4 linked regions of the Drosophila melanogaster genome follow. The protein of the gene in region 4 interacts with the protein of the main gene of each other region in a biochemical or structural test. Each region holds a gene or a part of one and is shown on either strand. Other genes may lie near its edges. The genes, in order: mtrm, nuf, Klp10A and polo.

Evidence for each region.
Region 1: the proteins of polo (region 4) and mtrm form a complex in vitro, tested with the Drosophila melanogaster proteins (one study listed by BioGRID).
Region 2: of the proteins of polo (region 4) and nuf, one has a biochemical effect on the other in vitro, tested with the Drosophila melanogaster proteins (one study listed by BioGRID).
Region 3: of the proteins of polo (region 4) and Klp10A, one has a biochemical effect on the other in vitro, tested with the Drosophila melanogaster proteins (one study listed by BioGRID).

The regions. Positions count from the first base shown.
Region 1 is NT_037436.4:8,411,150-8,414,644, reverse strand, and holds mtrm (matrimony), read right to left. Parts: upstream 1,634-3,495; 5' UTR 1,571-1,633; coding exon 917-1,570; 3' UTR 542-916; downstream 1-541. Other genes in the region: Exo70 (exocyst 70), read right to left, coding at 1-300, 363-427, 1,836-2,347, 2,418-2,583, 2,637-2,684; Oseg1 (outer segment 1), read left to right, coding at 3,152-3,216, 3,300-3,495. UniProt on the Drosophila melanogaster protein: Polo kinase inhibitor required to maintain G2 arrest in the meiotic cell cycle in females. Holds heterochromatically paired homologs together from the end of pachytene until metaphase I.
Region 2 is NT_037436.4:14,217,798-14,222,743, reverse strand, and holds the start of nuf (nuclear fallout), read right to left. Parts: upstream 3,003-4,946; 5' UTR 2,808-3,002; intron 1,305-2,807; exon of another isoform or gene 1,244-1,304; intron 1-1,243. Other genes in the region: CG7768 (uncharacterized protein), read right to left, coding at 3,867-4,361.
Region 3 is NC_004354.4:11,134,110-11,139,057, reverse strand, and holds the start of Klp10A (Kinesin-like protein at 10A), read left to right. Parts: upstream 1-1,939; 5' UTR 1,940-2,191; intron 2,192-2,279; exon of another isoform or gene 2,280-2,962; 5' UTR 2,963-3,141; coding exon 3,142-4,178; intron 4,179-4,948. Other genes in the region: CDK2AP1 (CDK2-associated protein 1), read right to left, coding at 156-1,001. UniProt on the Drosophila melanogaster protein: Required during anaphase to drive sister chromatid separation to promote flux by actively depolymerizing kinetochore microtubules at their pole-associated minus ends, thereby moving chromatids through a 'poleward flux'.
Region 4 is NT_037436.4:20,308,079-20,313,975, reverse strand, and holds polo (polo), read right to left. Parts: upstream 4,323-5,897; 5' UTR 3,667-4,322; coding exon 3,568-3,666; intron 2,928-3,567; coding exon 2,703-2,927; intron 2,642-2,702; coding exon 1,859-2,641; intron 1,794-1,858; coding exon 1,365-1,793; intron 1,298-1,364; coding exon 1,103-1,297; 3' UTR 510-1,102; downstream 1-509. Other genes in the region: alphaSnap (alpha soluble NSF attachment protein), read right to left, coding at 92-183; SCCRO4 (squamous cell carcinoma-related oncogene 4), read right to left, coding at 5,150-5,229, 5,360-5,567, 5,629-5,882. UniProt on the Drosophila melanogaster protein: May play a role in regulating both nuclear and cytoplasmic aspects of the mitotic cycle. Regulates localization of the augmin complex during mitosis by ensuring its location on mitotic spindles.

The sequences.
Region 1 (3,495 bases), about 12 Mb from region 4:
TGCGTAATGGCCTCAGCGTCCTTAACCACCAGATCGATGGCATTATAGGCCAAGGTGGCGAATACCTCGTTGTGTTTCGACTGGGGAATAATGTCGATCATGATGGCTCGCTCCCAGTTAAGTAACCGCTGCAGTCCCAGCAACATGACCAGATACTTGTCCAGTTCCTGATCGCCATCCATCAAATCCTCGGAGGTCAGGTGGTCGCTGTGCGATGATGCCTTCTTAATGGAGAACCCTGTGGACTGCTCAATCGTCTGCGTCGCGCGTAAATATAACTTGTTCGCCTTCTTTTCGAATCTATGCAGAATAAATTAAATATATCATATACGAAAACTTGGAAATTAAGTAATATTTCTCACATTTGCTGAAGACGAGCGGAGGTTGTCTTTTTTGGCTCCGTTTGGCGTCCACTGTGTCGCGGTCTCTGCAAGAAAACATTTTAAAAACATTAATTTGAATTGTTAATTGCCATTGCATTAATGTTTCTTCGGAATAATTAAGGTACTAAAATGGTAGCAAATTAAAAACTCTTATTTTTGTAACCTTTTAATATGCATTTGATTCTTATGAGTTTATTAATTTTAAAAATGTGTGTTTTACAAAAGCGTTTATACCCCAATTTTTTTTTTTTTTTTTGACAAAAAGTATTATGCAATTTGCTAGCTTACGAAATAAATTTAAATTTGTAAATGAGCTTCGGAGCAACATTTTAGGAATTACATAGATTCTTAAAGTGTACTAGAGTTTATTATTTAAGGCTAAAAACGACGAGCTTTAAGACACCAGGTCTTTTACAATAATTCTAGAATACCTACTTAATTATCCACATATATTAAAATCACAAAGTTTCTCTTCACATAAAACATTTTAAAATCTTAGTGTATGATAAAAGATGGACATGCCAGCGATTCACTTAAAGAGTGTGGAGCACATCCATGATACGGTTGCAATCCTCATCGGTATTTAGGCCGATTTTAACAAGATCAGCACGCTCCAAGGATGCCAGTTCCACCAGATCGATGTGAGCCTCTTCGAAATTGGTCACATAGTTCTCCAGGCCCATGTGCATGAGAATCTGTTCCACATTGGCGGCATGGTTAACCACGTACGAGTGGTTCGATGCTTTGATGGAACGACGACGCGACTCCAAGGCCAGTGAGGTCTCCATATTCGAGTCATCCGAACAGGTATCCGGGCTGCTGCAGCTCTTTATTTCTCGCTCCGGCTCGATGATCTCCTCCTGCGGCTTGGGCAGCACGAATGGCGGGGGCTTAAGCTGAGTGCGATGGCAGTGCTGATGCTGCTGCTGCTGCTGCTGCTTGGGATGCACCTTCGTTGGCACTTTCTTGAAGGTAGCGAACCGCATGGGCGACACTGGACTCTTCCCCTTCGTGCCCATATTCTCGATGGGCGAGAGATTGGGCGAACGGAAGTTGCCAAAGATCGGAGTAGAGCATCGCACGTTGGAGGTGTTCACCTTCAGGGTGTTCCATCTGCGCTCCTTTAGCGTTGGCGTGCGATTAAGCGTAATTTTGGTCTTGTTCGTGGGCGTGCGAGAATTCTCCATTTTTTTTAGATACTGTGACACAGAAAATGATGCGTTCTTTGCGAATTCAAGCTGGCAAATGGCGGTCATCGAATTGGACATGTAATGCTTACATGCACAAGCTTTTTCGAACAGACACCGTTAACCGAAACGATCAGAGATGGGAAAAGCATACATATGCTCATCATCGTACACATCGCTATTCATATTCTACTACGTACTATTTTTCTCCACATAATATATATGTATTAATACTAGTTAGAATATGAAAGAACTGTTTACTCACCAGAGCCTCGTGACCCCAACTGTTGCTCTTTTGGTGATCCTTGAGCAGCTGCAGCGATCGGAGAACCACTTCGCCCCGTTCCGTCGCGTAGATGTTTGTGTACTCCCTTAAATTTTGCTCCAACCAGTGCGATATGGTGTACAGCTCCTCGCGCGTCGTTTGCGAAAGCTGCCGGAATGAGGTGTATTCATCGCTGGAATCGTCCTCTATGTAGATAAGATCCAGCAACTCCACCGGCTTCAGCGGAGCACTGTGCTTCTTGAGGAGCATACTATAGTGCTGACTCAGGCCTTCGCAGCCGGTGTTAAACAAACTGGTGACATTCTCCAGCTCCACGCTCTGGGAATTGTTGTGCCGGAAGTAATCGTTGGCATCGCGCAGTTTGGCTAGTGCGTCGAGGAACACCGAGATGTTTCCCTCCACCGGGCCTTGATGAATCAACTGGCAGACCTCTTGGGAGACATCGTAGTGGGACAGGACGCTTTCCAGACAATTGAGAGTAGCTTCCAGATCTAAAAAAAAAAAGAGGCGGTGACACATTAGTTTTTTTTTTTTGAAATCCCATTGAGTTTATTTTCATACTCTGCTGCCGTTTCTGGAGCTGCTCCGTCTCCTGGTAGACGGGCAATATGGTCTGCTCCAGGTTTCCCAGGCGCTTCTCGAAGATTGTTAGAATACTGGACATTTGCGTGGACAGATCATGGTATTTATCCACTCGATCTTTCAGCAGAGCTAAATTGGTGGCTTCCTATGAGGAAAATGGGTAAGTATGGAGGTTTTGAGCATGACAACTAGACATACCTTCTCCAATTTATTGTGCGCCTGCAATGAACTGTCCAAATTGTTCATTTTCAAGCGTATATGTAGCTAAAATCCTTTAAAAACAAACAATAGTTCTGATATAAAAAACAATTCTATTTTATTTTGTTTTGACGAAACTAGGCATTTATGCACACTGGCTTTGGTCATACTGTCAATTACCGCGTTGCCAACTACTTTGCACGAAAAAAAAAATTATAACGGTCATTTCAGATAGTAATAGAAACTTTTTTTAAATATTGTACACTTAGACAATTAGGTAAACGATAATGAGGCTATGTTTTAAATAAATTGTTTTTACTACTAGTACTAGTTTATTAGTCAAGTCCTAGTTTTAAAAGCCAAAACTAACGGAAAAACCCGCCAAACTGCCATCTCCAGCCAAGACGCCAACTTTTGTTGTGGTTGGTTGCCATGGAATCTGTGTGTAAACAACGCACCTGCATTTAGGAATTTCTACCAACTATGCAGGATTAGCCAATTCGACTTCTGCAACAATGAGGGGTGTTCTCAAGTGGCTGGAACGCATAGAGTTTCCCAATAGCAAAGACAATGAGATCAGGTAAAGCTTTCTCATTCGTGGAAAACAACAACCTGTTGCTTGCTATAACGCCATAACGGTATTTGCAAAACCCAATTTTCCAGTGTCCACAATGTGTGCTACGCACCCGATGGCAGCCAATTGGTGGTGGCTGCGGGGGATCGGTTGCTCATCTACGATCCAAACGATGGCTCCTTGCTGAACACCTTGAAGGCGCACAAGGATACGGTCAATTGTGTGGCCTACTCGCGGGATGGCAAGCGGTTCGCCAGCGGAGCCTCCGATAAAATGGTCATCGTG
Region 2 (4,946 bases), 6.1 Mb from region 4:
AACCAACAGACCGTAAAATTATTTTGTTCAGACTTTGAGCAGAATTCTAGACAATTTTACATATCCTCGTCGTACAGCTATTTTCCAACCTCTCCCTATTTTCATTGTTATTTTGTTCCTCAGGTTTTGAATTCCCGCCTAGTTTCTAATTACCAGAAAATGCAATGGCTGGCTAAGTTTGCTTTTCTTTTACTTGGAATTTGTGGCGTGCTGTTTACTTTTGTAGTCTAGTAAACTGAATCATTCTTAGTCTTATCAAATCGTTCGGCGACGTGTATAGTTAAGGTGCCCTTGTCAAAGCTTCATTTTCACGTTATCACATACAAATTTAAATAAAGGTCAATATGAGGGCCAATTAAAAGCAGGGCATGACTGATAAAGATTTTACTTTTTAAAGAACTTTATTTGCTTTGAATGATTCCAAGTTGATTTACGAAATAAGCATTCAAATAAATAAAATACAACTTTATTACAAATGATTTGGAAACCCTTATCAAAATACAATCCAATTCCTTCAATACAAGTACAGTAAGTAACCGAATAATCTGATTTCAATTCAACTAAAACTAATTTGCTAATGAAGTAAACTTTCCTTTCTTGTCAGCTGAATATTTTTGGATTATCATATCTCTTCAACCATTTTTTCCTCGCCCATGTCAGGCAATCAAAAACAGCATAATAGAAAATTATCATTAGCTACTCTTCAGCAAAATTGAATTCCACAAAGATTTGCATACAATGGTCGACGAAGGAAGGGGTGAAAATGGGGATGAGTCGAACGAGGGGAGCTCATTAAATGCAAATTTTACTTCGCTGCTGTGCACTTTTCATGCAACAAAGTGAAGTGAACAAGTTACAACAAAAAGGTTGTAAAATATACAATGATTAGCCGAAATTGGATCAGGAATGCTGAGTACCACATAAAATATTCATGATTTCAAACAAATGTATATTTAAAGACTTTGCATCAATTATATGGGAATCATATACATAAGAACTTGAAAAAAAATTGTCATTGATTATTTTTAATGTACTATTATGTATTCTATAACTTTCTTGAAAGCTTTTGCTTAAAAGAACCAAAAACTAATGATGCAATCCTTTAAAATATTTTTAATTTTCCTGCCGATTTTATGATCTTCAATAATCTGTGCCGCGATCTCACAAATATTTTTCAATTTTAAAAGTGAATAGCTAATTTTTTCGATTATTTAAAATGGTGTATTATGTATTTTATTACAACCACAATCGAGGGAGAAAAACAAATTTCGATTAAAGCACGCGAAACGCGAAAAGCAAACTGAATGAACCAGAAATTCAGGGGCAAAATAAACCGAGGCAGTCGCCAGCGATAGAGAGAAAAATGAGAGACTGGGAGAGCGAATTTGGGGAGGCGCAATCTTTATAAATAGGAAAAAATAATAATCAACAAACAAGAGCAATGACAAGGGACCGAAGAAAGAGAGCGATCCGATCCCCCAAAGGAAAAGTTTTTCGCCATATGTCCGAGGGTGATTCTCTCGCCGAATCCGCCCGCCTCCTTTATTTTGAACATATGGTTTTTGAGTCAGGGACAGCGCATAATTATGTGGAATTTATATACGGTCACCCCAAGCCAACCGCTCCCAAAATGCCTCCCATCATATGTTCATATATGCATACATACGTATGTATGTATATGTTTTACTCATTACTAAATAAAAGCGCAAGTGAATAAGCGTGGACACGAACCGAAAAGCAAGAGTAACGGGACGCATGCGGGATTGGATGGTAATCTCCATCCATTTCGTCCCATCTCTTTCGTACACCCCCTTTTTGTTGATGTCATCAGAGGGTCTTTTCCGTTCTTTTGTTATTGCGGCTACCTTAGGCCTTTTACTTATTGGTTTTTAGTGCTAGTTTTCAGTTCCGGTTAGTTGTCTTCTGTGCTGTTAGGGCACTGTGCCGTTAGATTTATATGCCTACTAATTGACGAACCATCGCTAATGAAAGAATATTTTCCTACCAAACTTAACGGTACGGAAAATGCCTAGTAAAAGAAATTAAGAAGTACGAGTTATGTATAATGAATGAACTTGGAACTGCTATGCGTTATTCTCGGTGGAAGCCCTTGATTTATTTAATTCCCTTTGAATGTAGAAACTGCCGAAAGCAATGAAAACAAGACTTGATTTTTAAAGAGGCAATATTATTTTTTTTTTTTCATCTTCCTAAGTTTACTAAACTTTTTAAGAAAATACTTAAACTTGTCTCCATTAATAATAAAAAAAATCAACACAAAAAGCACAATTAATTTACATTGTGCCGGTTTTGCAAATTTGATCACCTTATCTTTCTTCGTTTTACTTCATCAATTACCGTCAGTGTTTTTTCAACTTTTAACGCCCCATAACGAAGAATTGCTTTGAATTGTTTAAAGCTATTTTATTTTTTCTTTCATTTTGTCCCATTTATTGTATCATTTATCAATTTTATGCCACACTTGATTTCCATTTTTTATGTTTCGATAAAACACTTGGCAAACTGATTCAACCGCACTTTTCAATTTAAGATCAATCAACCAATATATTTGCCAGAGGGTATGAAAATTAGAAACATGAGCCGAACAAGGCTACTTTGATTACGGGTTTTCACAACAGACCCTGTCATTAACGAATTTGTTTTGATTTCACATTTTTCCTTAAATAAGCGGTTAATGAGCCAAAGGCACCTGACACAGCTGATAAGCGAATTCGATCGATAATAGGTAACACACAAAAAACACACGAATTGAGGTAACTTTGGGTTAATTTTCTCGAATTTCGAACCTTTTTTAATTTGGCTATTTTGCTTAGGAGAGCAGCAGCAGCAGCTGCATTTTCCTTTTCCTTGGCAATTGCATTGCCCAACAACAAAACACCCGCGCGAGAGAGCGCGAGAGAGTGAGAGACAGGGCGACCGTTCGATGCGCTGCTCCGCTTTTCTAGTGTTGTGAACGCGGCAAGCGTTAAATGCAATCTGAGAGAGGAAAGCGCTGAAAAGCCAGCGCCAAGTCGCGGCCCCTCCTCTGCCGCTGCCTCGGTCGACGTCGGCAGAAGCCGCGACTTGTTTTGGGTGCCCGAAAAAATAACGAAAAGAAATACAAAAAAACAGAGCCCCAAAGCAAAACGAACGCAATAGAAAAATTCCACTAATGTGACTTAGCAGTGTTGGAAATTCGTATTACATGCACTTGAGAAAAGAAAATTTTGTTTGCTGAGTGGCTTATATGCACATACACATATACACATTGTATAACATAGTTAGCCAGGTGTTTTTAGGTTTGAAAAGAAATACTAACTTCCAAATATAATATTTGTTTAAACAAAACTTATATTGCAGAATATATTTAAAAAATAATGGATTCAATTTGAGTTTTTGAATGTATTTAGTAAAGTGCACTTTACCAAACATATACATATGTATTACTGGTGGTTAATTCTTTTTTTTCATCAGTGTATGTGACTTAATAGACATTTGCAAAGTGCATTCGGGTAAAGTGGATAGAATGGCTTGAGGGAAAGGTGATGGGAGACAGAATGAGAATCGAGTGGAAAGAATCAAAAGCGACATATGTGAGCAACTCTTGAACTAAATTGAGTCAATTAAAAGTAATGGAAAGAAAAATCAAAGGAAAATGAGTCAGGGAACTGGGCTGTTCAGGGTGCACCGGATTATTCAACGAATTGGTCTGAAATGCGTAACATATGAGAGCGATGTAAATAGTTGAACCGACAAAATACATTTTTTTGCACCCCCTTTTATTTTGCAAAGTTTTCTTGAAAAGTATAATTTCAGTGTAATAGTGTAAATGTGTGATTGACAGCACTATTATGTATTGACACCCTTCAGAGGGCTCCGCAGTCTTCGATAATTACTTTCTTGCTGGTCTTCCCATCTTGTGAACCGTAAGATTCTACCTTCTGGACGATATCCATTCCCTCAACGACCTTGCCGAACACGACATGCTTATTATCCAGCCATGTGGTTTTCCCGGTGCAAATGAAAAACTGAGATCCATTGGTATTGGCCCCAGCATTGGCCATCGAAAGTACACCAGCTCCGGTATGCTTTAGCTCGAAATTCTCATCGGGAAACTTGTTTCCATAAATGGAGCGTCCTCCAGTTCCGTTTTGATTAGTGAAATCACCGCCCTGACACATGAAATTCGGGATGACGCGGTGGAATGGTGATCCCTTGTAGCCGTACCCCTTCTCTCCGGTGCAGAGGGCCCGGAAATTCTCCGCCGTCTTGGGCACCACATCCGAACGTAGTTCCATCACAATTCTACCTAACTTCTCACCTCCTGCGGCTATATCGAAGTAAACGCGTGGCAACGACATCTTCGCAGATGCCGAAAATTTTCGGAGAAAAGCCAGATCTATTAGGTTTAAAATCGAACGATGCCTTGTTCAAAAACAAGAAATATATTTACCGGATAACTTGGTGGTGTCAGCTTTATGATAAAAAAAAGTAACGACTTTCAAGAGAACCGTACAGTAGAACAGCTGGAACTGAACTGACGAATATTCTGGGCTAGTCAGGGATCTGAAGTAAGGGCTCGTTGAAATTCATTTCACAGCCTTCTTTATAAAATCCAGTAGCAAAAAAAAATGCCTGCTTTGGCTTCCACAATTTTTAATACATTGCAAATGATCGGTATATTTGGATATTTTAAGGTAATATTGTCCTTAAAATACCTTTATCCGTGTCTAATCTTACAGACCTTATTTACTCTTCTAATTTGTTTAACCGCCGCCTTAATCAACGCAAAACTCACAGATACTTTTAAAGCCGGCTATATTTACCTTTCATTTGCAGTTGTGTACAAACTTTATATATCCATCCACGCGATGAGTGTATGTTTGTATAATTAGGCAAAAAAAATAGTCAATATTTATTTGCCAAAGCAAATACAAACTGTGAGA
Region 3 (4,948 bases), on a different chromosome or scaffold from region 4:
TTAATTGGGACAAAATGGATCTTTGCGTTTGCTATATGTCCGTGTTTTTTTTTGTTTTTTTTGTTTGGGGGTAATTAACCTAGATGAGGCCGATCCTCGCCTCCTGGTCCATTTCACTCCGGGGTCGCCAGCTGCGGCGCCAGCGACTCCTCCTCTCATTGGCGCGCCGCACGCTCCGTTTCCATGAGGCATTCGCGCACCAGGATGCGGGCATGGACAATGCCCCGCTTGAGACGCTCCGTGGAGCTGCGCGAGCCCGTGTACGTGGGCCGGATATCGCGGCCCATCTCCTCAATGACGGCCAGCAGCTGGGCGTACTTGGTCAGCCCATTGCCCGGGCCCACTGAGGGCAGGCTGGCCGTGGAGGTCAGCGGCGTGGTGATATTGGCCGAAGTTTGGGTGGTCACCACCACGGGCGAGGTGGAGGGTGGCGGGTACTTTAGCTGCGATGAGCTCAGATTCAGGCCCATGCTCTGGCCATTGCTGCCAGAGGAGGTGGAGGAAACGCCGGCACCGGAATTCCGCTGACCACCATTGCTGGAGCACATGTTGGCCAGCGAGAGGGCCGCAGCGGCGACGGCTGCCGGCGTGGCCGTCGTGTTCGACTGCTGCTGGAGTAGCGCCAGCTGGGCCTGGAGGAACTGCGGGGAGTATTGGAGGGCAGCGACGGCGGCGGCAGCTGCTGCTGCATTGGCCGCTGCAGCGGAGCTCTGCTTGCTGGACGAGCTGCTGTAGTCGCTGGCGGAGGAGCGGTCCCGCTCCCGCTTGCCACCGCTGCTCGTGGAGTAGTCGGTGGCAGCGTTGGATGAGTTGGATCCGCCTCCTCCGCCAACGGATCCACGCGAGTGGTGGATGGCCGATATCTGGATTTGGGGCTGCTGCTCGCGCTGCTCCCGCTGCTGCTGGTAATTGTAGAAATTCTGCACTTGGCTGCGCGGTATCGGTGTCACCGTGACGTCACTCAGCTTGGACTCTACGGCCTGGATATCCATGATGTCCATGGTGGCGCTGGGCGATGTGGTGTCTGGAGTCGATATCCGTCGGTTGTTGTGGTAACTTAACTATGTCCACCTTTCCGTTTTCCTGGCACACAAAACTACTAGTTTTTAGCGTTTCTTTTTTGGTTTATTGTTTTTTGTGATATGATATCGATATCGATATCAGGAGGCGTTATTACGCTTTCCCTTCAACGCACAAACAAATACACCCCCACCAACAAAAGTCGATGGTTCGGATTATAGTATCGATAGACAAGCGCGATGCAAAGTGCCCACCTATTCGCGTCTCGAATGTGGGTGTTTCCACTGTACAAGCAATTTGTATACATGTGGAAAGCTCTTTGTCCAAATTGGTAAATGGCTAAATGTTTTTGAAAAAAAGATAATTAACAACCATAAAACTACAAGAAAATTACAAAATTTAACCCAAGTGCATATGTATACATGAATGACAAAACGGTAAAACCATGCAAATGAATAACCATCCACGTCGAATAATACCTAGTTCACCCTGATAAGGCACTCCCAATTTGTCTTATTAAACAGCTAATTTTGTTAGGGCTTAAAAATACCCAACGTTATGTATGTCTAGTGTTGTCTAGTTTCGGGGGGCGGAAAAGCCAATTGCACACAAATATACAAAGTATTGCCGAAACGTTGATTCTTTCAATAAATAAGGCACATTTTAATGAACTTATGCTTATGCCAACAAAAGCGGTCGCTTATTTTTATTACTTATTGATATAAATTCCAAAACAGCTGACATTTTTAACGGTTACTTTGCCTAGTGTTGGCCAAGACATCAATCTTAATAATAAACTCTCAAGTTGTCAAAATTATACTTGTATTTCTACTAAAAAGTCATAAATATACCCAAAAACTACTTAGCCAATAGTAACCCTGCTTAATATGGATTTTATTCACTTATTAACACGCCAATTGTCTCACTTTTCAAACACAACGGCTGATTGCCAGCACTGTTTGCGCTGCAGTCCAGTGCTGCGCAACGCGGCGGGGACAAAAAACAATGGCGAGGCGAAACTAAAAAATTGTGTTGCTGACATCTGGTCGCTTGCAAAACTATTTCTAGCAGATTTTGTGATATTTCGTTGTGATCGGTCGATAAATCCGCCAGTTTTTTTTTTAATGGAAAGTGCTAACACATTGTAGCGGTTGGGAAGATAGCAGGAAAGGTGAGCGAAAGGCAGAAGATTGCGAAAAATTCAATTAAATTTCCGCGACCGTCTGTTTTCTGCATCGGTGTGTGTTTGTGTTTGCTCGCAAGTGTGTGTGGGTGCTCTGTGTATGACGTAAAGCGATAAAGCAAACGCATTCCCCCCACTCCTTGCATATGTGTGTGTGTGCAAGTGTTGTGTTTCTCTCTCATCAGTTTTGCATCTAATTAGGAGCGGAAAGCATTGATTGGCTGCCAAACGCCGCGGTTTGTTGTTTTTTTCGCTGCATTTCGGCCAAAAGGCTTGCCGCAGCTGCATATGTGTCGCTATGTGTGTGTCAGTGTTGCACAGTGCCGCCAGTGCCCACAAAATGGGCGCACAACAACAAAAGCAGCAACTCGGTTGGGATTTTCGCGATCCTACGCTGGCTCGGAGCTCCCCTTTTCCTATTTCCAATTCCCAGCCAGCGGGCTGCCGTTTTTCCTTTTTGTTATCCGTTGCCAGACGCAACGAAAACGACAGTTGGCATTTGAATTCAGCACAAACACACATACTAACGCCGACCCGCAAGCAGCACACACACACACACTGGGACACTCGAAAAAAAAAAAACAGACGCTGTCGGCGACCTCGACAAGCAGTTGGGTTCGATTTAGTTGTCAATGCCTTGAATTCGGTTCGGGGCTTAGTTTCCACAAGTTTATCGCTCGTCAAGAAACAACGAAATAAAATTATTTTCGACCTAAAAAATCTGACTAAATTGTGTTTTTTGTTTATGTATTTATTTAGGCACATTTTGCACACCACAACGTAGTTACTACATCTACGACTAACGGAACTCCTCCTGCAAGCAGTGGAAGTTGCTGTCCATCAAGCAGTACTCGGAGTTAACGCAGGATAAGCCGGGAGAAAGAGAAAGAGATCGGTGGAGAATAGAGATATACAGGTGGAGTCAAAGAGGAAGGATCATGGACATGATTACGGTGGGGCAGAGCGTCAAGATCAAGCGGACGGATGGCCGCGTCCACATGGCCGTGGTGGCGGTGATCAACCAGTCGGGCAAGTGCATCACAGTCGAATGGTACGAGCGCGGCGAAACGAAGGGCAAGGAGGTAGAACTGGACGCCATACTCACGCTCAATCCGGAGCTAATGCAAGATACTGTCGAACAGCACGCCGCCCCGGAGCCCAAGAAACAAGCCACCGCGCCGATGAACCTCTCGCGTAATCCCACACAATCGGCTATCGGTGGCAATCTCACCAGCCGTATGACCATGGCCGGAAACATGCTGAACAAGATCCAGGAAAGCCAGTCGATTCCCAATCCGATTGTCAGCAGCAATAGCGTGAATACAAACAGCAACTCCAACACTACGGCCGGCGGAGGTGGTGGCACCACAACGTCGACGACCACTGGATTACAGCGTCCACGGTACTCGCAAGCTGCTACCGGCCAGCAGCAGACAAGGATCGCCTCGGCGGTGCCTAATAACACATTGCCCAATCCCAGCGCGGCAGCCAGTGCTGGTCCGGCGGCACAAGGAGTCGCCACTGCGGCCACAACCCAGGGAGCTGGCGGCGCTAGTACCCGGCGATCGCACGCATTGAAAGAGGTGGAGCGACTGAAGGAGAATCGCGAGAAGCGACGCGCCCGACAGGCCGAGATGAAGGAGGAGAAGGTGGCGCTGATGAACCAGGATCCGGGCAATCCAAACTGGGAGACGGCGCAAATGATACGCGAATATCAGAGCACGCTGGAATTTGTGCCGCTGCTCGATGGCCAGGCCGTCGATGACCATCAGATCACAGTGTGCGTGCGCAAGCGTCCCATTAGCCGCAAGGAGGTCAATCGCAAGGAGATCGATGTCATTTCGGTGCCGCGCAAGGACATGCTCATCGTGCACGAGCCGCGCAGCAAGGTCGACCTCACCAAGTTCCTGGAGAACCACAAGTTTCGCTTCGACTACGCCTTCAACGACACGTGCGACAATGCCATGGTATACAAGTGAGTATCCAATCCAAATAACAAGCTCCAAAACAACTCCATATATGGTCTGTTTGAATTACTAGTAGTGATTCTAAACAAACGCTCGATATGGTGACCACACATTCCAATGTCTTGGGGAGGCTTCTTCAATTACTAATGCGTATCCTTGCTAGCAAACGGCTTTATTTCAATTGAACTGAACTATAGAAAATCTTATTTCGTTATAGATGACCCTCTATAGCTATCATTCAATCTTAAACCTAATTTGTTGATGCAGTGGAATCATATATAGTATAAAGCAGCATATCCTTTAAAGAAATCATTGCCCCATTTATCAGATTTCCATCGAGTAACCAAATGTGCCAGTCACTTTTCGAGCTCGTTTCGTTGGCGCATCTCTGTTAGAGCGACCCATTGAGTCATGCCGACAGAGACGGCAACAGAGCCACACACATGCATCATGAAAGCGGTTGCTCCCGAAATAGCCAAGTTCGTTGAATGACTAACTTGGAAGCCCCAGACGCTTCACCTGCCCCCGCCCGGCCACTCCGTCCGCCGATCTGCACACGAGCTCTCTAAACCCAATTCTCCAGCGGAAGAGATTTCGAAAAAGTAACTGCCTTGTGGCCCGGCATTTGTCCATTAGCAATTGTTTGGCTTCAATTGAATTAAAGCTGCTACGGCTGCTGCTGCCCCTTTCCTTTCTCCGCCAACTTCTTGCTTAGCTTCTCTTTCCGGTTTTCGCACTCGTATGTATTGTGTGGCTGTCGGGAATTGGTAATGCCATT
Region 4 (5,897 bases):
GTGGGGTTGTGGAGATGCTAGGCTAGACCAGACACAGCTCCATTTCCCCACTCCCACAGAAATTGCGAAACTTCTTTGATTTGATACGCACCCGAACAGCGATCCCAGAAAGCCCTTCTGCTGGGTCAACTTCTTCTCCGCCTCGGCCATCAGCTGGAGCGCCTTCTGTTCGTTGTCACCCATGTCGAGGATTTATGTCCGCCTCGGCACTAATTGCATCTAAGTTTAAGACTTGTTCGGCTTTTCAGCGAGTGTGTGTACGTATTGGGATCTTTTTTCGAGAAAATAAAATCAATATGCTGACTTGGTGTGACCGCAGAAGTGGTGCCAGTGTTACCATCTCACAGCATTCTCAAATAACTCATGCCAGTGTTGTGAAATGCAAGGGCTGTAACGTTTGTTCGTTCAAAATAATTCTCAGCCGCCTGAATGCGTCACCTACAGTCTGGCAGGTGCATTTTAAGAACAGCTGCCCTAAACGTTGCAAACAATCTTTTTTCAGATATTTTATTAAATTTTATATATATTCGCTTTTAGTTCAAAAGCATTTACATATTGTATCCTATAGCTACAGATATTTCTGGCCAAAGTTGAATATACTTGTACACTTAAACACTTTGCAGCAGTATTGTAACTTATGTATTATTTTAAATGGCGCTATAGCGCACTACGAACGCACAATATTACACTATTACTTTTATAATGTATCCAGCATTAAAATTTTGTTATCAGTCACCTCGGTGAATATAGGCATTTCGAAACACGTTTGCTTAGTTTAAACATTTAATTTGATCTCTTTAAAATGCATTAAGTGATCGGATCGTGTACGAAAACCATTAAACAGATATATTAAATTACTTTTGAGGGAGGCCCAACACTGACGATGAATATAACTTAAGCAGTATTTTCGATATGAAGGGGAAGGGGCAAAAACAAATAAATTCTATAAACATCGAACAAATCAATTTGAACGGGAACTACAATTTTAAAAGATGATGGGAGAGGAGGATACTTTCTGGGCTATAAATGAAGTTGGCCAGGGCATTCGTGAATTACGTTAAACTAACATTCGGCCTTATAATGATAGTTGGGCTGGCTACGCTTATGTGAACATCTTCTCCAGCATTTTCCTAAGTTTCTCCTGGGCATATCGGATCTTCTGGTACAAGTCTTTAGACACGCCGTTCTCCACAATGGTCGAAAATCGGTAGGTGCGGAAGTTCTTCTCCTGGTCCATATAGGTTATAGCACTCATGCGCGGGCAGAGGATGAGCTTCATGTGATCTGAGAAGTTTAGCTAAGAAGGATAGATAGTTCATTAGGACCAGATGTACATGATGCCGATGCTGTACAATTATACAAACCTGCACAGAACCGTTGGTCAAATGCATAACTACGGCACATGTTGTACGGAACCAGGAGTGTAAATGGGGCATACGCGAGATTTGATCGCTCTCAATGTTCACATTGTTGGCACCTGCCTTCACCAGGTGCTCGATCATGTAGCGCTTAAAGTACGACAGCAGCTTCATCTTCTTGTCAAGCGACTTGCAGTAATCCGTGGTGGTCATGTACGTCTCCTTGCCATCCTTGTCGATGAAGTGTACGTTGATCTGATTCGGCAGCAGGATCAGCTTTGTGGTGTCGTTGAACATCACGCCGATGCCCTCATCGCACAGCTGGTAACCAAATCCGTACTTGTCGCTGTAGTCAACCCACTTGGATATCCAGAAGAGCGGCTGCGCTGCAGGATCTGTGTTCTCGTCGCCCAGATTGCCTTGCAGAATTCGCGGCTAAAGAAGTGAAGAGGTATAAGAGTCTTAAATTATTTAACTAATATAGAGCAAAAGGTACTTACCTTTCCGTTGATAAGATTAGTGAGCTGCTGGTACAGGCTCTCGATATCGCTGCGATAGTCCTCGCTGTGGCGGCACACCTGCGCTGACGCGGTAATGGCGTCGTGCAGATTGGCCTTGAGGAAGGTCGACTCCAGACGAGTGTCGTCGGGCCTGATGCCGTTCATCTCCATCAGTGGCTTGCGGTGCATCGAATCCTCGATGGTGTCGTTGCTGCCGATACGCGGCGCCATTGTCAGACAAGAGCTGGGCAAGAACATGGGCACCTTTGAGCCCTTGAGGAACTCAAAGTTCAGCAGCTGACCAATTGCCGGGCGGCTCTCCGGATTTGGCTGCAGCATGGCGATGACCATATCCGCCGCCGGTTTCCTTAAGTAGCTGGGCACGCGGTACTCGCACTTCTTGATTTTCGAGTACGTATCCTTCAGAGTCTTGGTTTCGAACGGCGGCTGGCCCACAAGCAGTGTGTACATGACGCAGCCAATCGACCAGATGTCCACCTCGAAGGAGTGGCCCTTCTTGGTGAGGATCTCCGGGGCTATATAGTTGGGCGTTCCGCATAAGGTCTTTTTTCGCTCGCCCTCATACTCAATGCGCGTGGCCAACCCGAAATCCCCGATCTTCACGTGCAACAAATCGTTGAGGAAGAGATTGCCCAGCTTCAGATCTCGATGGATAATGCGGTTATCGTGCAAGTACTTAACGCCCTGGATTATCTGGTAAATGTAGTAGCGGCATTCGAACTCCGTAATGCTTTTCCTACGTTTGTGCAGCTCCATCATGGACTGTAAGTCGGAGAGGTAAGTGTCATGGTGGCATATTGCAGAGATGTTCTATTAAACTCACTCTTTTCTTGCACAGCTCCAGCACAATGTAGATATTCTGCGAATCTTCAAAGTAGTTGTGAAACTTGACAATGTTCGGATGGTTAAGGCTGCGGTGAATAGTTATCTCCTGGGCGGTCTTCTCCTTCTGATTGTGTTTGATCATCAGCTTCTTGGATACGATCTTGCCGGCGAAGACGTCGTCGGTTTCCACATCGATGATCTCGTAACATTTTGCAAACCCGCCCTGCATAAAGCATATTAATTTTGTATTTAAAAACATTATACAAAAACATAACCTTATACTGTATTAAAAACAGATCTATGATAAAACTTTGCATATAGGTATTTTCAAGTAAATGGCGTTTAATAAACGTATTGATGTCTATTTTACAAACATATTCTGTATAAACTTTTTATCCATATTGGTTGGCAACATAAAATTAGTAATTTATATTTAACAATCACATGTTTAGTACCTTTGCTCCAATCTGCGGAGCCCCTTCCAAGAAAATATTTATATGCCAATAGCACAACGAGGAAATTGTTGGTTCAACTAAGTTGCAACAGTTCCTTTTCTTGTCTATGTAAATTCGAAGAAGCCGCGCCAAAAAAAAAAACTGAACAAGCAGCCAACTGCATGAACACACACACACAGGCTCGTACAAGATTCCCACACACAGGCTCTCTTTTTCTCTCCTGCTCTTAAAGGAGAGAGCTACAAAAACAACAAGGGAATGCTCATCAGCAAGGAAAACGGAACGAAAACCGGGATGTGGAAATGGATATGTGTGTATGCGGGTGCGTGCATGTGTGCGTGTAGGTAAATGTGTGATCCCTTCGACTGATCTGATCCCGGGCATCTGCAAATCCGCATCCGGACTCACCTTGCCGAAGAACCGCATGCGCTTGTAGGTTTTCCGCTGGTTGATGTCGACGAGGCGATCCGGAATATCCGTGCTCTTATCCTCGGGCTTCGCGGCCATCTTGCTCTCCTTTCTTCTTTACTACGGACTGCCCCTTTTGCGTTTGCGTTCGCCTGGAGTTTTGCGGCGATACTCCTCGTTCTGAGCCTATAATTCCACCGGCGATCGGCTGAAAGTGCCTCGGAAACGGAGATCAGATCCACACGGTTGACAAGAGAAGCGGCGATCAAATCTCGGTTTTGCCCATCGAATGCACGAAAACCAAGCACAAAGCGGAGAACGCGCCGAAACCGTTCGATTTTTTAAATGCCAAAATGAATTGGACGTGAAGCGTCAGCTGAATTGGTGTGCCCGTTTCGCTGGCTATCGCACACTTTCTGGTATGTATCGCGGTATTTTGTTGAGTGTTGAACAACAAATTCTATGGCCGTTACCCTTTTGAATTTACCTACTGGCGTTTACTCTGTTCGAATTGAGCGCAATATTTTTTCCTATTGCTCTGCGCAACACTGTGTTTAACCGCTATTTATTTGAAAATCTACAAAAACTAACGTTACATTTTTGAAATTTCAAAAGGGTTTCATAAATTGAGTTTACTAAACAGTCAACGGTCAACTTTATATTGTAGAGCCCCTTTTCTAATTTGAATTGCTGCAAACGTTTTCTGAGTAAAAATACTGCCACCTTGTAATTGCAGGTTTCGATCCTGATTTGTGTTAAAAAGAAATTATTAGAAACAGCTATCTCAAAGCCTTCTATGTTTTTCAGTTAAACTTTCAAATAACGGTTAAAAATAATTTTGATAAAAAAAAAACAACACTAAAACACACACAAGTAAATAGAAAAAATAATGTGTTTACTTAATAACTTTATTAAATAATCCCCAGATTTTGTTTTTCTACATTGATTTAATAACGACTACGAATACCCCACTATTGGTGTAGATTTCCGTTTAGATTTTGACTATGCCTGCTGATATCTCGAAGGGGTCGCTTGGGTTGGAGGATTGTATGTTCTAGAATAGGTCTATTTGGGGTCTCTTGGTTATTGCCATCGTTTCGTTCTCTGGGATTACTCCTTACAAGCTGCCCCGTTTTGGCTCTTGTTGCTGTTCTGATTTTAATGTTTTGTTTTTGTTTGCGAAAGAGGCCTTATAAGTAGAAAAATGTGGTTTTAGTTCTTAGTTGTCGTCGTTAATACATAAATTATTACATTAAATATATTATCAATAGTTTAGTTTCATAGTTGGTTGCTTTGCCAGTGTACGCAGTCTCTCCAAAATGCCTTGTGTTTCCGTGTGGGTGAGTGTGTGCTTGTGTGTTTTAGGCCGAAGAAGTGGCTGGTGGATCTGATCGTGGATCTGAGTGTGGGTGTGGGTGTCAGTGAGTGTCCTGCGGTTATGTCTTAAATTTTCGCCGATCTATCTTATCAGCATTCCCATCCCATCGCATCGCATCCCATCTCCGACTCAGTCTCCGCGAACTCCTCTCCGCACTGAGCTCCCAAAGTTGAACTAGAAATAGGCGACTCGATACAGCTTTTCTCAGCTAGATCCGGTTGTGGAGGTGACCTGACTCCGCTGCAGGCGCAGCCATTCAACAAACTCATCCAGCATGACGGGCCCTGCAAAAAGATGGGGGTAACTAAATGCTCCGTTTCAAGTTCTTATTTTAACTTATTTATCAGCTTCTTTTAATACGGTTGCGAAATACATAGTTCAGTTTAGTTTAGTTAGCTCCTTTGTGTTACTTACAAGCTCCGTCGATATCGTAGTTTGATAGATCAATGCTAATGGTGCGCGAGAACTCGAGAATATTACACCACTGATCTTTGTTGATCGCCTTGTACTTTGATTGCTCTAGAAACTGTGCGAACTGTGGATACAGAGGCCAATGTTTGCCCAAAAGTAGTTGAAGCATGGCTTTGGCAGTGAGTATATCCATACACCGTTGGTCCGAGTCCTGCGGAATATGCAGAGCCTTATTAAACGCAGCTCATTGTTTATTCAAATGGATTACTGACCTTGGCAAAGTCGTAGGCGTATCTGTAGATGCTTTTAAAGGAGTTGGGATCGTTGAGTATGCTGCGCAGATAGTCCAATTTCACAACCATTTTCGCTGCCGAATCGCAGTCGAGTTCTGTGAGGCCCTTTAGCCACTCCTGCTGGCTGAAGAAGCCCATCTGGGTGGCGCCCATTTTGTAGGCCAGCACCAGCATCACAATATTCTCGGGCTCCACGCCGATATCCTCGCAGAATTTTTCCATGCCATCGGGACCTGAAGAATCAGTTT